Macaca fascicularis: one gene and its partners. The protein of the gene in region 1 binds, or shares a complex with, the protein of each later gene. Links are inferred from orthologs where the notes say so. Each region holds a gene or a part of one and is shown in the gene's direction. Other genes may lie near its edges. The genes, in order: CFB, CFP and CFD.

What was found.
Region 2: the proteins of CFB (region 1) and CFP are in contact, whole or in part, in a crystal structure (PDB 7NOZ), measured with the Homo sapiens proteins. The link is inferred for Macaca fascicularis from reciprocal best matches to the Homo sapiens genes CFB and CFP. Residues at the interface, in NP_001701.2 of Homo sapiens: Glu54, Gln56, Ser78, Thr316, Tyr317, Leu349, Ser351, Met394; in NP_001138724.1 of Homo sapiens: Arg329, Arg330, Asn331, Lys333, Pro341, Met420, Val421.
Region 3: the proteins of CFB (region 1) and CFD are in contact, whole or in part, in a crystal structure (PDB 2XWB), measured with the Homo sapiens proteins. The link is inferred for Macaca fascicularis from reciprocal best matches to the Homo sapiens genes CFB and CFD. Residues at the interface, in NP_001701.2 of Homo sapiens: Glu298, Ala301, Ser302, Ala332, Asp333, Ile469, Asp470, Glu471, Ser472, Glu518, Tyr519, Lys585, Asp758, Glu759, Asp760; in NP_001919.2 of Homo sapiens: Asn157, His158, Ala159, Gly160, Arg161, Arg162, Arg182, Thr183, Asp186, Arg200, Val228, Cys229, Gly230, Asn231, Arg232, Lys233.

Annotation. Positions count from the first base shown.
Region 1 is NC_088378.1:139,756,086-139,759,705, reverse strand, and holds the end of CFB (complement factor B), read left to right. Parts: intron 1-244; coding exon 245-346; intron 347-421; coding exon 422-559; intron 560-1,055; coding exon 1,056-1,153; intron 1,154-1,291; coding exon 1,292-1,409; intron 1,410-1,624; coding exon 1,625-1,775; intron 1,776-1,872; coding exon 1,873-1,949; intron 1,950-2,147; coding exon 2,148-2,248; intron 2,249-2,346; coding exon 2,347-2,479; intron 2,480-2,560; coding exon 2,561-2,610; intron 2,611-2,879; coding exon 2,880-3,035; 3' UTR 3,036-3,089; downstream 3,090-3,620. Other genes in the region: NELFE (negative elongation factor E), read right to left, coding at 3,306-3,403.
Region 2 is NC_088395.1:47,723,759-47,727,085, reverse strand, and holds the end of CFP (properdin), read left to right. Parts: coding exon 1-133; intron 134-384; coding exon 385-576; intron 577-734; coding exon 735-846; intron 847-2,505; coding exon 2,506-2,671; 3' UTR 2,672-2,733; downstream 2,734-3,327. UniProt on the Homo sapiens protein: A positive regulator of the alternate pathway (AP) of complement. It binds to and stabilizes the C3- and C5-convertase enzyme complexes. Inhibits CFI-CFH mediated degradation of Complement C3 beta chain (C3b).
Region 3 is NC_088393.1:1,424,160-1,428,316, forward strand, and holds the start of CFD (complement factor D), read left to right. Parts: upstream 1-1,298; 5' UTR 1,299-1,324; coding exon 1,325-1,379; intron 1,380-2,225; coding exon 2,226-2,382; intron 2,383-2,469; coding exon 2,470-2,614; intron 2,615-3,063; coding exon 3,064-3,321; intron 3,322-4,157.

The DNA of each region.
Region 1 (3,620 bases):
CACCTTCTCAGACCAGCATGTGGCCCTTAAGTCCACTTGTAACACTATACCCATGGTTGGGGCCCTGAATGTGACTCGTAACTGGCTGTTCATCTCTCCTGTGACCCTTCATAAAGAATTATTCCTAAAGCCCTGTGATCAACTACCTCTAACCCTTCCTCAACTTACTCACCCTGCCACGTGTATCACTGCCTCTAGCCAATTTATCTTATCTCCTACCCTCATGGTCCCGTCTCTTCTGCAGGATTGCACAACATGGGCGGGGACCCAATTACTGTCATTGATGAGATCCGGGACTTGTTATACATCGGCAAGGATCGTAAAAACCCGAGGGAGGATTATCTGGGTGAGTAACCTGCCTAGGACCCAGCACCCTACTTCCTCAGGGCTTGGACCGTCATCCTTCCTTTTTCTCCCTCAGATGTCTATGTGTTTGGGGTTGGACCTTTGGTGGACCAAGTGAACATCAATGCTTTGGCTTCCAAGAAAGACAATGAGCAACATGTGTTCAAAGTCAAGGATATGGAAAACCTGGAAGACGTTTTCTTCCAAATGATTGGTAGGCAGACACAAGGGAATCAAGAACGCAACTCTCCTCAGCTTCCCCTGAAATAATTCATTCTTCCTCTACCCCTGAAGCTCTAGTTGCCTGGAAAGCCTTCTTCATTCCTCCTTCTCTACCTCAGTATCACTATTCTTGTTTCCTGGCACTGTTTGCTTCTTAACCTTAGAATCACAGAGCTCTAGGCACTTCAGAGATCTTTCTATTGTCCTACATTTGACACATGTGGAAACAAAGGCCAAAGGAGGTCAAGGGGCAGCAAGCTAGCAACAGGGCTGGGCTTGAAAACAGCCAGGCCTCTGATAGCTTGATCCCAAGTTCTTTCCCTTTTCACTCCACCACAGCAGTTTTCTCCTAACACGAGGAAACAAATACCTGTGGCCTTTCCCTTTCTCCTTTTGGGCCTCTGCCCCCCACAGACTTCTACCCAAAGGCTGCTGCCGTTTGGGAATGAAGTGTTCCAAGTTTTCAGCACATTCTCCTTCTCTGCCAGATGAAAGCCAGTCTCTGAGTCTCTGTGGCATGGTTTGGGAACACAGCGAGGGTACCGATTACCACAAGCAACCATGGCAGGCCAAGATCTCAGTCACTGTAAGCACAGAATCCCAGTAGTGAGGACTTGGGGGAGGTGAGGTCAAGGTGAAATGGGAGTAGGGGAAGGGCAAAATGGCCGTAAGAGATGGTGGTTTGTGAAAGTTGAGTTTTCCCTTTCTACTGTTCTGTTCCCAGCGCCCTTCGAAGGGACATGAGAGCTGTATGGGGGCTGTGGTGTCTGAGTACTTTGTGCTGACAGCAGCACATTGTTTTACTGTGGACGACAAGGAACACTCGATCAAGGTCAGCGTGGGTAAGGATGCAACTGAAGGTCCCGGGCTGCACCTACGCCCTCCAGGCAACACCTCCCACTTTCTACAGATCCCACACTCCACTCATCTGCAATGCAGCCCCATCCCTTGCACCCCAGACCAGTCAGGGATGGGGAAGACTTGAAGTTAGGAATGACATGGGGCCAGAGGCAAGAAGCTGCCCACAAAGAGGTGGTACCTATTCTCCTACTTCAAGGGAAGAAGCGGGACCTGGAGATAGAAAAAGTCCTATTTCACCCCGACTACAACATTAGCGGGAAAAAAGAAGCAGGAATTCCTGAATTTTATGACTATGACGTTGCCCTGATCAAGCTCAAGAATAAGTTGAATTATGACCCGACTATCAGGTGAGAGCATCCAGATCCCTGAGGAAAGGCTGGGAAAGGCTGGAGGACTGGGGTGAGGAGCAGGCCTAGTTTGCTGTTCTTTCTCCATCCTTTATAGGCCCATTTGTCTCCCCTGCACCGAGGGAACAACTCGAGCTTTGAGGCTTCCTCCAACTACCACTTGCCAGCAACAGAGTAAGACATACTAGGGGGGAGGATAAGGATGAGATCCCGAGACAAGTGAGGCATGAGAGGGAGATGCAATAGGAAGAGACGATGCCTGGCCCAGAACCTAGCACTAGGAAGGGCTTAGGGGACATCTGCTGAGTGACAAAGTCAATAGGGAGATGACAGTGGTGGGAGCAGCTGAAGTGATGCAGTCTATTTGTCCAGAGGAAGAGCTGCTCCCTGCACAGGATATCAAAGCTCTGTTTGTGTCTGAGGAGGAGAAGAAGCTGACTCGGAAGGAGGTCTACATCAAGAATGGGGATAAGGTGAGAAATGGGCATCCTAAGGAGGCACTCTAGGCCCTAATCCTTCCTAAGCCACCTCTGTTCATTACCTTTCTCCATGCTTCCCACCTCCCCTACAGAAAGGCAGCTGTGAGAGAGATGCTCAATATGCCCCAGGCTATGACAAAGTCAAGGACATCTCCGAGGTGGTCACCCCTCGGTTCCTTTGTACTGGAGGAGTGAGTCCCTATGCTGACCCCAATACTTGCAGAGGTGAGAGAACGCTCTCTGGTTGTGCTCCAAGTGCCCGAGGGCCAAGAGTCCTTTTCCCTACAGCTTCTCCTCTCCTTGCAGGTGATTCTGGCGGCCCCTTGATAGTTCACAAGAGAAGTCGTTTTATTCAAGTGAGTCCTCCCTTTCCTATCTGGGGAGATGCCAAGTGGTCAGCATGGGCCCCAAAGCAGGAAAGCACAATGCATGTGGCTAGTAATTCGAGGTGGGCAGAGCCTGCCTCACTTTAGGACTGCATGTCTGGCCTGTGTGTGTCAAGAATGAGGCTGAGCTGGGTCCCTAGCCTGATTCCTTTAGGTCAGCTAAGACACAATCAGGAACAGTCATGCTTCCAGGATTAGGAATTCTATGAATGATCCATGGCACCCCACTGCCTCTGCAGGTTGGTGTCATCAGCTGGGGAGTAGTGGATGTCTGCAAAAACCAGAAGCGGCAAAAGCAGGTACCTGCTCACGCCCGAGACTTTCACGTCAACCTCTTCCAAGTGCTGCCCTGGCTGAAGGAGAAACTCCAAGATGAGGATTTGGGTTTTCTATAAGGGGTTTCCTGCTGGACAGGGGCGCGGGATTGAATTAAAACAGCTGCGACAACACTTGTGTTCCAGATCCTTTTGGGGCAAGGGAGTGGGGAACGGGCACTGGCCATGTTGTTACACTGAGATCAAACCTGACACCCATTTTTAAAGGCTTAACCCCAATCCCAAGTGCTGAAAAACCAGAGGCTGAGGGAGATATGTAAGCTTCCACCTCAGTGTTTTACTGAGACCAGCATTGGGGCATTTGAGGCACAAGGAATCCAGCTCTGTTCCCTAGAAGCCATCCACAAGGTTTTCCTTGTAGACGTCATCACTGTAGACAATCTGGGTCCTCTTGTCCCGGTGGCAACCCTTAGGGCTGTTCTGGACAGCTAGGGAGGGAGGAGAGGAACAGTTAAGGTCTAAAGGAGATCATAGATCAGACCCTGAGGCTGACTCCTGACCACCTCAGTCCTGGCTGCTGGCCCCTGGAAACCCAGTTTCCACGCTGCCCTCTGGTGGCCAGGATGGCCTGTCTTCCTTAGCTCCTTTGTGCCAACCCATGGCCAAGGAGAGTGTAAGTGGACATTTTGATGAATGTTTTGTTCT
Region 2 (3,327 bases), on another chromosome or scaffold:
CCTGTGACCTGTGGCCTGGGCCAGACCATAGAACGACGGACGTGCAATCGCCCTGTGCCCCAGCATGGAGGCCCCTCCTGTGCTGGTGATGCCACCCGGACCCACATCTGCAACACAGCCGTGCCCTGCCCTGGTCAGCATCTCAGAGTTCACGATTTGCATGCCTAAGCCCCCCATGCCCTTCTCTGCTGCCCAGTTCCTGCTGCTGAGGCCTTGCTCCTGTCTCTGATTCCTCCTTTCCTGGCCCTGATACCTTGTTTCCACCCCGATCCCCCATTCGCACATCTGATCACCTCTACTCCCTCCTACCGCCCTCATTTCTTCCTCTGAACCTCTTGCTGATTCCCTGCTTTGTTCCAATCTCCTCTTGCCCTGTCTCTGCAGTGGATGGAGAGTGGGACTTGTGGGGACAGTGGAGCACCTGTGTCCGCCGGAACATGAAGTCCATCAGCTGTGAAGAAATCCCGGGCCAGCAGTCACGCTGGAGGACCTGCAAGGGCCGCAAGTTTGACGGACATCGATGTACCGGGCAACAACAGGATATTCGGCACTGCTACAGCATCCAACACTGCCCCTGTGAGTGTCCCCCAGACTGTGCTCTGAGGGTGGGGTGGCCCATGCAGGATAAGGGGTTTCCAACTCTCTGCTTTGCACCTCACGTCTCTGCAGCCTCCCTCTCACCTTCCCACCAAGACCTCCAGTTCTGACTCTGTGACCCCTACCCCTCATTGCAGTGAAAGGATCATGGTCAGAGTGGAGTACCTGGGGGCTGTGCATGCCCCCCTGTGGACCTAATCCTACCCGTGCCCGCCAGCGCCTCTGCACACCCTTGCTCCCCAAGTACCCGTGAGTGAGAGGGCAAAGTATGCCTGGGAGGGGGTCATGATATTACAGGCGGGAGAGTCAGCTACCCCTGGAAACCAGGGCTTCCACTGCTGAATCTAAGGTATCTGCCTTGCCGAGTGCCACCTCCCAGCTGCAGGAAGTGGGGAGAAATGAAAGAAGATGAGAAAGAAGCTCTTGGGGGAGAATTTGTAGCCTCTGTGCCCCTCAGTCACTCGTTCAGTCACTCATCCACTCTCCCATTCACTTAGTCCTTCATGTGTCATTGACTCCAACCTTTAGTTACTCATGCTTTTAGCTGCCGCCACTCAGGCCTCCATTCACTGCCTGGCTCCCACAGTCACTCATGCCTCCATCCACTTTGTCAGCATCTCACTGCCCTAAGGCACTCCAAGGCTTTTTCAGCAACAGTTGCAGATACACACAGCCCAGATCCTGTGGATCCTCCAAGGGACCCAGCTGAGCAGGCCCCTGACAGGAGGCATATGAGGAACAGCTGGTGCATGCAACAGGGGCTGCCACCTCAACCTAGGTCCAGGAAGCTGATTGGGCCTCCCAGGGAAGGTAGGGGTTGGGAAAGGCGTTCCTGGCATCAAGACTGTGAACAAAGACTTGGAGCTAGGTGATTAGCTGCCATAAGTGTTTCCAGGTGCCAGAAGGGCCCAGGTGTTAAATGTTCATCCATTTAACATCCAGGTGCCAGAGGGTTAAAACGGTCATCCCTTTTCTTCCTTCCACATACATCAAGCTACTAGATTAAGTGGACTATTCCCAGCTCGTGGAAGGGCTGCCATCTGGGAAGAGATCTCCCAGCTGGGGGGGTTAGAGTGGGGCCTGAAGATGAATTAGAGGTGTTGAATGGAGGCACAAAGGACTTGAGTGAGTGAGAGACTGAGCGGAGGAAGAAGCAATGGAGAAAACTGGGATGGGAGTGAATGGAGGGCTTGCCTAGTGGGAGAAACAACCCAGGTAAAGACCTTTCTGGACATGGACTGAGCTTGAATAAAGTGGAGGAGAAAGACAGAGAGAGATTGGCTTGGGGCAGGGATTTGGGCCCAATGATAAGGCCTTGAATGTCAGGACAAGGCATTGGGTTTTTTCCTAGAGGCGGTGGAAAGAGATATAAAGGATATATATTTTGGACGTAAGAGAAAGTAGCTCATGCCAACAAGTAACATTCACCAGCATTTATTGAGCACTTGCTGTGTGTAAGGCACTGCTCTGAGCACTTTACCTGAATTAACTCATTTATCCTCACTCGGCCCCGTGAGGTGAGTATTAATATTACTATTCCTACCATTCTCATTTGCAGATGAGGGAAACTGAGGCACAGGGAAGCTAAAGAAATTGCCCAATATCCCATAGCTAAAAAGTAATGTTGGGAGGCCAGGCACAGTGGCTCACGCCTGTAATCCCAGCGACACTTTGGGAGGCTGAGGCAAAAGCATCACTTGAGCCCAGGAGATTGAGGCTGCAGTGAGCTATGACTGTGCCACTGCACAGCCTGGGCAACAGAATGAGACCCTGTCTCAAAAAAAAGAAAACAGATAAAACAAACAAAAGGTAGCATTTGGCACATAGCAGGCGCTCAATAAGATCTGAATGCATTCTTGCCTTCCCTGAGCTTCTCCCTTCCGTTCCTTCCCACCCCTAATGCCTCAGGCCCACCGTTTCCATGGTCGAAGGTCAGGGCGAGAAGAACGTGACCTTCTGGGGGAGACCGCTGCCACGGTGTGAGGAGCTACAGGGGCAGAAGCTGGTGGTGGAGGAGAAACGACCATGTCTACACGTGCCTGCTTGCAAAGACCCTGAGGAAGAGAAACTCTAACACCTCTCTCCTCCACTCTGAGCACCCTGACCTTCCAAACCTCAATAAACTAACCTCTTCGAGCTCGTCTACGATTCCTTAAAGGAGGAAAAACAACCCATCCCCTTCCCCAAAAGTAGGGTGATAGCATCCCACAGGGCAAAGGGCACAGCACGGGCCAAGACACAGCAGTCTGTTGCGGACAACAGTATCTTCCACTGTGGTCGCAGGTTGGCAGGAGTGAAAGCGAGTGTGCAGCCCCAGCCTCTCCCCGCCGCTGCCATAACCCCAGTGTCTGGGCCCTGCGCAGCCCCCCTTAGTGCTCCAGGGCCGCCCGGCACGTTCCTCTGCAGAGCTCCGCGTTACGAATTCCCTGATTGGCTACTTGTCTTGGCAGGCACTTCTTGATTGGCAGGCGTGCTTGTTCGTTGTCTCCCCGCCTCCTGGACCTCCCTAGATTCCCACCAGCTGGAGCCTCAGAGGAGCCTCTGCTGGCCGACTCCGACTCCGCGTCTGTGGAGGATGAACGGCAGAGGCGTGGCCGAGGCTGGCACTCTGCCGCCCGAGCACCTGCACCCACCCACTCCCGACAGCCTAGCTCCAATGCCGCAATTACCAGCGACAAATAGCTCGGCGAGGCGGGGGGCGGGCCGAGGAAGTGCCTGTGTTGCACTCTG
Region 3 (4,157 bases), on another chromosome or scaffold:
ACGCAACGTGAATCCCACTGGCCCCTGGGGGTAGATGTGAAAAATGGAGCTACACCATGAGCAGGCCTGCAGTCCCAGCCCTTCCGGAGGCTGAGGTAGGAGGATCAGTTGAGCCCGGGAGGTCGAGGAGGCTGCAGGGAGCTATGATCGCACCACTGCACTCGAGCCTGGACAAAGAGCAGGACCCTGTCTGTAATAAAACAAAAACAACACACACAAATCCCCACTTCACAGAAGGCCCCATGGCCCAGATTCTGAAAAGTATTTTATTTTAATTTTTTTTGTAGAGAGGGGGTCTCACCATGTTCCCCAAGCTGGCATCGAATTCCTGGGCTCGAGATCCTCCTATCTTGTTTCCCAACGTGCTAGGATGGTAGGTGGGAGCCACTGTGCCCGGCCAGCCCTGACTGTGTTCATCAGAACCTGCCCTCAGTGAGCAGTTTGGGAGGGGGCGTGTGATCCAGGCTCCGCCAACCCAAGGCAACCTTGAGACTTGGCTGGAGTGATGAAGAATTTTAGGAGGGGCCCATTGAGCCACTGGGTTGAGTATGGGGTCCCTGGAAGCACACCAGGGGAGCCTGGTTAGGAGAGACGCCATCAGAGAAGAAAGGAGAAGCCAGAGGCAGACACTGGATATTCTTCAGGCACCTGGATCAAGCCACACCTGAAGGTGGCCTCCCTGAACTTTCCATATAACTTTCATGATTCAGGCTCCACCCAGTTTGTTTTGGTTTTCCTGTCCTTTGTAGCCAGTCTTCCCAGCTGCCTCTGCCTTGGCCTTTCCAACATTCTATTTGTCAGGACGTCAAGCCCCAGAGGTCACAGAGACAGAAACAAGGGTGTCAAGTGACCTTTCTATCCCCATCAGACCTTCTCTCTAATTTGGAGGAGGAAGAGAAGAAGTGGGGGGTAGCAGGACAAGGAAGTGGGTTGTTTACATGCTGAGGCCTCCAACTAGGATTGTGAAACAAGGCTCGGAGACTCTGTGTCTGGTGAAGTTGGGGCCAGGGGGCTGGGGTGGGTGCAGTCCCCCTCTCTGCCTCCCACCCATCTGAGGGACTGCCCTCCACCCAGGGCCAGCAGGCCGTCAGGCTTACAGAGGCCGGAGGGTCTCTCAGCGACTTGTGGACTCCGGTGTGAGTCTGGCAGGAGGTAACCCAGTCCCCGGGAGGGCGGAGGCTGGGCGGGCGGGTTCCCCTTTCCCCAGCTGGGCCGCTGCCCACCCCGTGGACAGGGCCCCTGGGAGCCTCCCGCCCCCTCCACCCTTATAAAAGCAGCCCCAGGGTCCCGCCTGGGTCAGTGTCTCAGCCACAGCGGCTTCACCATGCACAGCTGGGAGCACCTGGCAGTTCTGGTCCTCCTGGGAGTGGCCGCCTGCGGTGAGGGGGCCTGGGCCTGGGGTGAGGGGCGGGGTGTGTAGGGGCGTGGGCCAGGTGCTCCCCTTGGTCACACAGACGATCCTCCAGCCCCTCCAGGTGGGCAGGAAGGGGGTGTCTCTCCTCACCAATGGAAGGCTCTGAACGCTGAGAAATTCTAGAAGATTCTTTTGGAAATTGGCACTTTCTGGAATCAGCTTTTCTTGCAGACAGAGTCTGATGTCTGTGTGGAAAATGGTTCTGCCTAGGCACTGGTTAGCTCAGCCCTATTTCTCTTATGTCCAACTGGAAGGCATTGTGCCCAGGGTGGGGAGCTGGGATCTGCCCCCCATCCCCGGCCCACTGTGGGTTCCGCACTCTGGGGCATTCTGGCCCACGCATATCTGAGTTTGCAACGCCAAGGGGCCCCAAGACGGAGATGGAATTCTTTCTTTTCTTTCTTTTTTTTTTTTTTTGAGAGGGAGTCTGGCTCCGTCGCCCGGGCTGGAGTGCAGTGGTGTGATCTCGGCTCACTGCAACCTCCGACTCCCGGGTTCAAGCGATTCTCCTGCCTCAGTTTCCCGAGTAACTGGGATTATAGGCCACACCGGCTAATTTTTTGTATTTCTTTTTATAGTAGTGACGGGCGTTTCACCGTATTGGCCAGGCTGGTCTCGAACTCCTGACCTCGTGATCTGCCCGCCCCCCGCCCCCACTGCCCCTTCGGCTTCCCAAAGTGCTGGAAACAGCGACCTGAGATGGGATTCTTCGGCGGAGCGGCCTGCGGGGGTGAAAGCTGGGATCCCGCCAGGCGGCCTCGCCCGGGGGTGGAGTCCACCCCGCGGCCCTCACATGCCCGCCCACCCACAGCGGCGCAGCCCCGCGGTCGGATCCTGGGCGGCAGAGAGGCCGAGGCCCACGCGCGGCCCTACATGGCGTCGGTGCAGGTGAACGGCGAGCACCTGTGCGGCGGCGTCCTGGTGGCCGAGCAGTGGGTGCTGAGCGCGGCGCACTGCCTGGAGGACGCGTGAGTGCCCGCGCCGCGCGGGGAAAGAGCCCAGGTGGGGTGGGGGGACTCGGCTGGCACCGACCGCGGACTCCGCCCGGTCCCCAGGGCCGACGGGAAGGTGCAGGTTCTCCTGGGCGCGCACTCCCTGTCGCAGCCGGAGCCCTCCAAGCGCCTGTACGACGTGCTCCGCGCAGTGCCGCACCCGGACAGCCGGCCCGACACCATCGACCACGACCTCCTCCTGCTGCAGGTCGGCCCAGTGTAGCGCAGTCCCTGCTGAGGCGCTGGGACCCCCGGCCCACCCTCACTCCACCCCGCCCCGGGTCCAGGGTCCAGCCTCGACCTCTCCTGCTGCATGCGGACCCCGCCCCACAACCCCCGCACCCTCACCCCGGGTCCAGCCTCGACCTCTGCGGCTGCACTGGGAGCCCCCCCATCCCCTGCATCCCCACCCCAGGTCCAGCCTCGACCTCTGCGGCTGCACTGGGGACGCTCGCACCCACCCCACCCCCACCTGCACCCCCACCCAGGGTCTAGCCTAGATCTCTCCTGCTGCAGAGACCCCCGTCCCTGCCCTGATGCCCACCTCTCCCCCTGCCCTGATGCCCACCTCCCCCTTCCCGTGTCCCCGAGCCTCGCGGCATCCTCCCCGGCCTCGCACCCCCGCACCCCAACCTTGACGTCCGCCTCCATCCCTAGCTGTCCGAGAAGGCCACGCTGGGCCCTGCTGTGCGCCCCCTGCCCTGGCAGCGCGTGGATCGCGACGTGGAGCCGGGCACTCTCTGCGACGTGGCCGGCTGGGGCATAGTCAGCCACGCGGGCCGCCGCCCGGACCGCCTGCAGCACGTGCTCTTGCCAGTGCTGGACCGCGCCACCTGCAACCGGCGCACGCACCACGACGGCGCCATCACCCAGCGTATGATGTGCGCGGAGAGCAACCGCCGGGACAGCTGCAAAGTGAGCCTTCAGGAGGAACGGGAGGGCCTGGGAGGAAACGCGGGGCCCGCAGGACGGGGGCAGGTCCCGAAGAGGGGAAGGGAAGCTGGGGGGCAAGTAGGAACGGGGCCCAGGCAAGGGGCGGGGCGCGTGGAGGGGCGGGACCCGAAGGGGCGGGGCATGAGGGCGGCCTGTGGGCGGGGCCTGGACGAGGGGCGGGGCCTGTGGGATGAGGCGGGGCTGTGGGGGCGGGGCCTGGAGAAGGTGCAGGGCCTGTGGAGAGGGTGGGGCTGAAGAAAGGTCAGGGCGGGCAAAATGGGCAGGAACGGGTGGGATGTGGAAGGACTTGTGGGTTAGGGTTGGGATAGGGGGCGGGCCTCGAGGAGGGGGCGGAGTCCAGTAACAGAGGGACTACAAGGGGGCGAGGCCAGGAAGCGGGGTGGGGCATGAGGGGCGGGGCCTGGAGGAAGGGGCGGGGCAGGTGGACGGGGCGGGGCAGGTGGACGGGGCGGGAACCTCTGAAGGGGCTGGGCTGGTGCAGAGTGGAATCCCTGCTGCGGCGGGGAAGAGAAGGGGTCCTGAGCAGGGCCGAGGCCTAGGACAAGTCGAGGGTTGCGTGGTAGCCAGGGCCAAGATTGGGTGGGGCTCTAAGGAAGGGGCGTGCCTGAGGTGAGTGGGGATTGAGCAGAGCAGGTGGCCACTGAGACGGGTTAGGGCAGAAGTGGGATCTGCGGTAAGTCGAAGCCTGGAAGAGCAGGGATGAGGTGTGGGACCCCATCCTGGAAAGGGCCTGGAGTGGGGTGGGGTAGGGGGAACACGTGGTGAGATTGAGGCCAGAGGGGGTGTGGCCAGGAGCT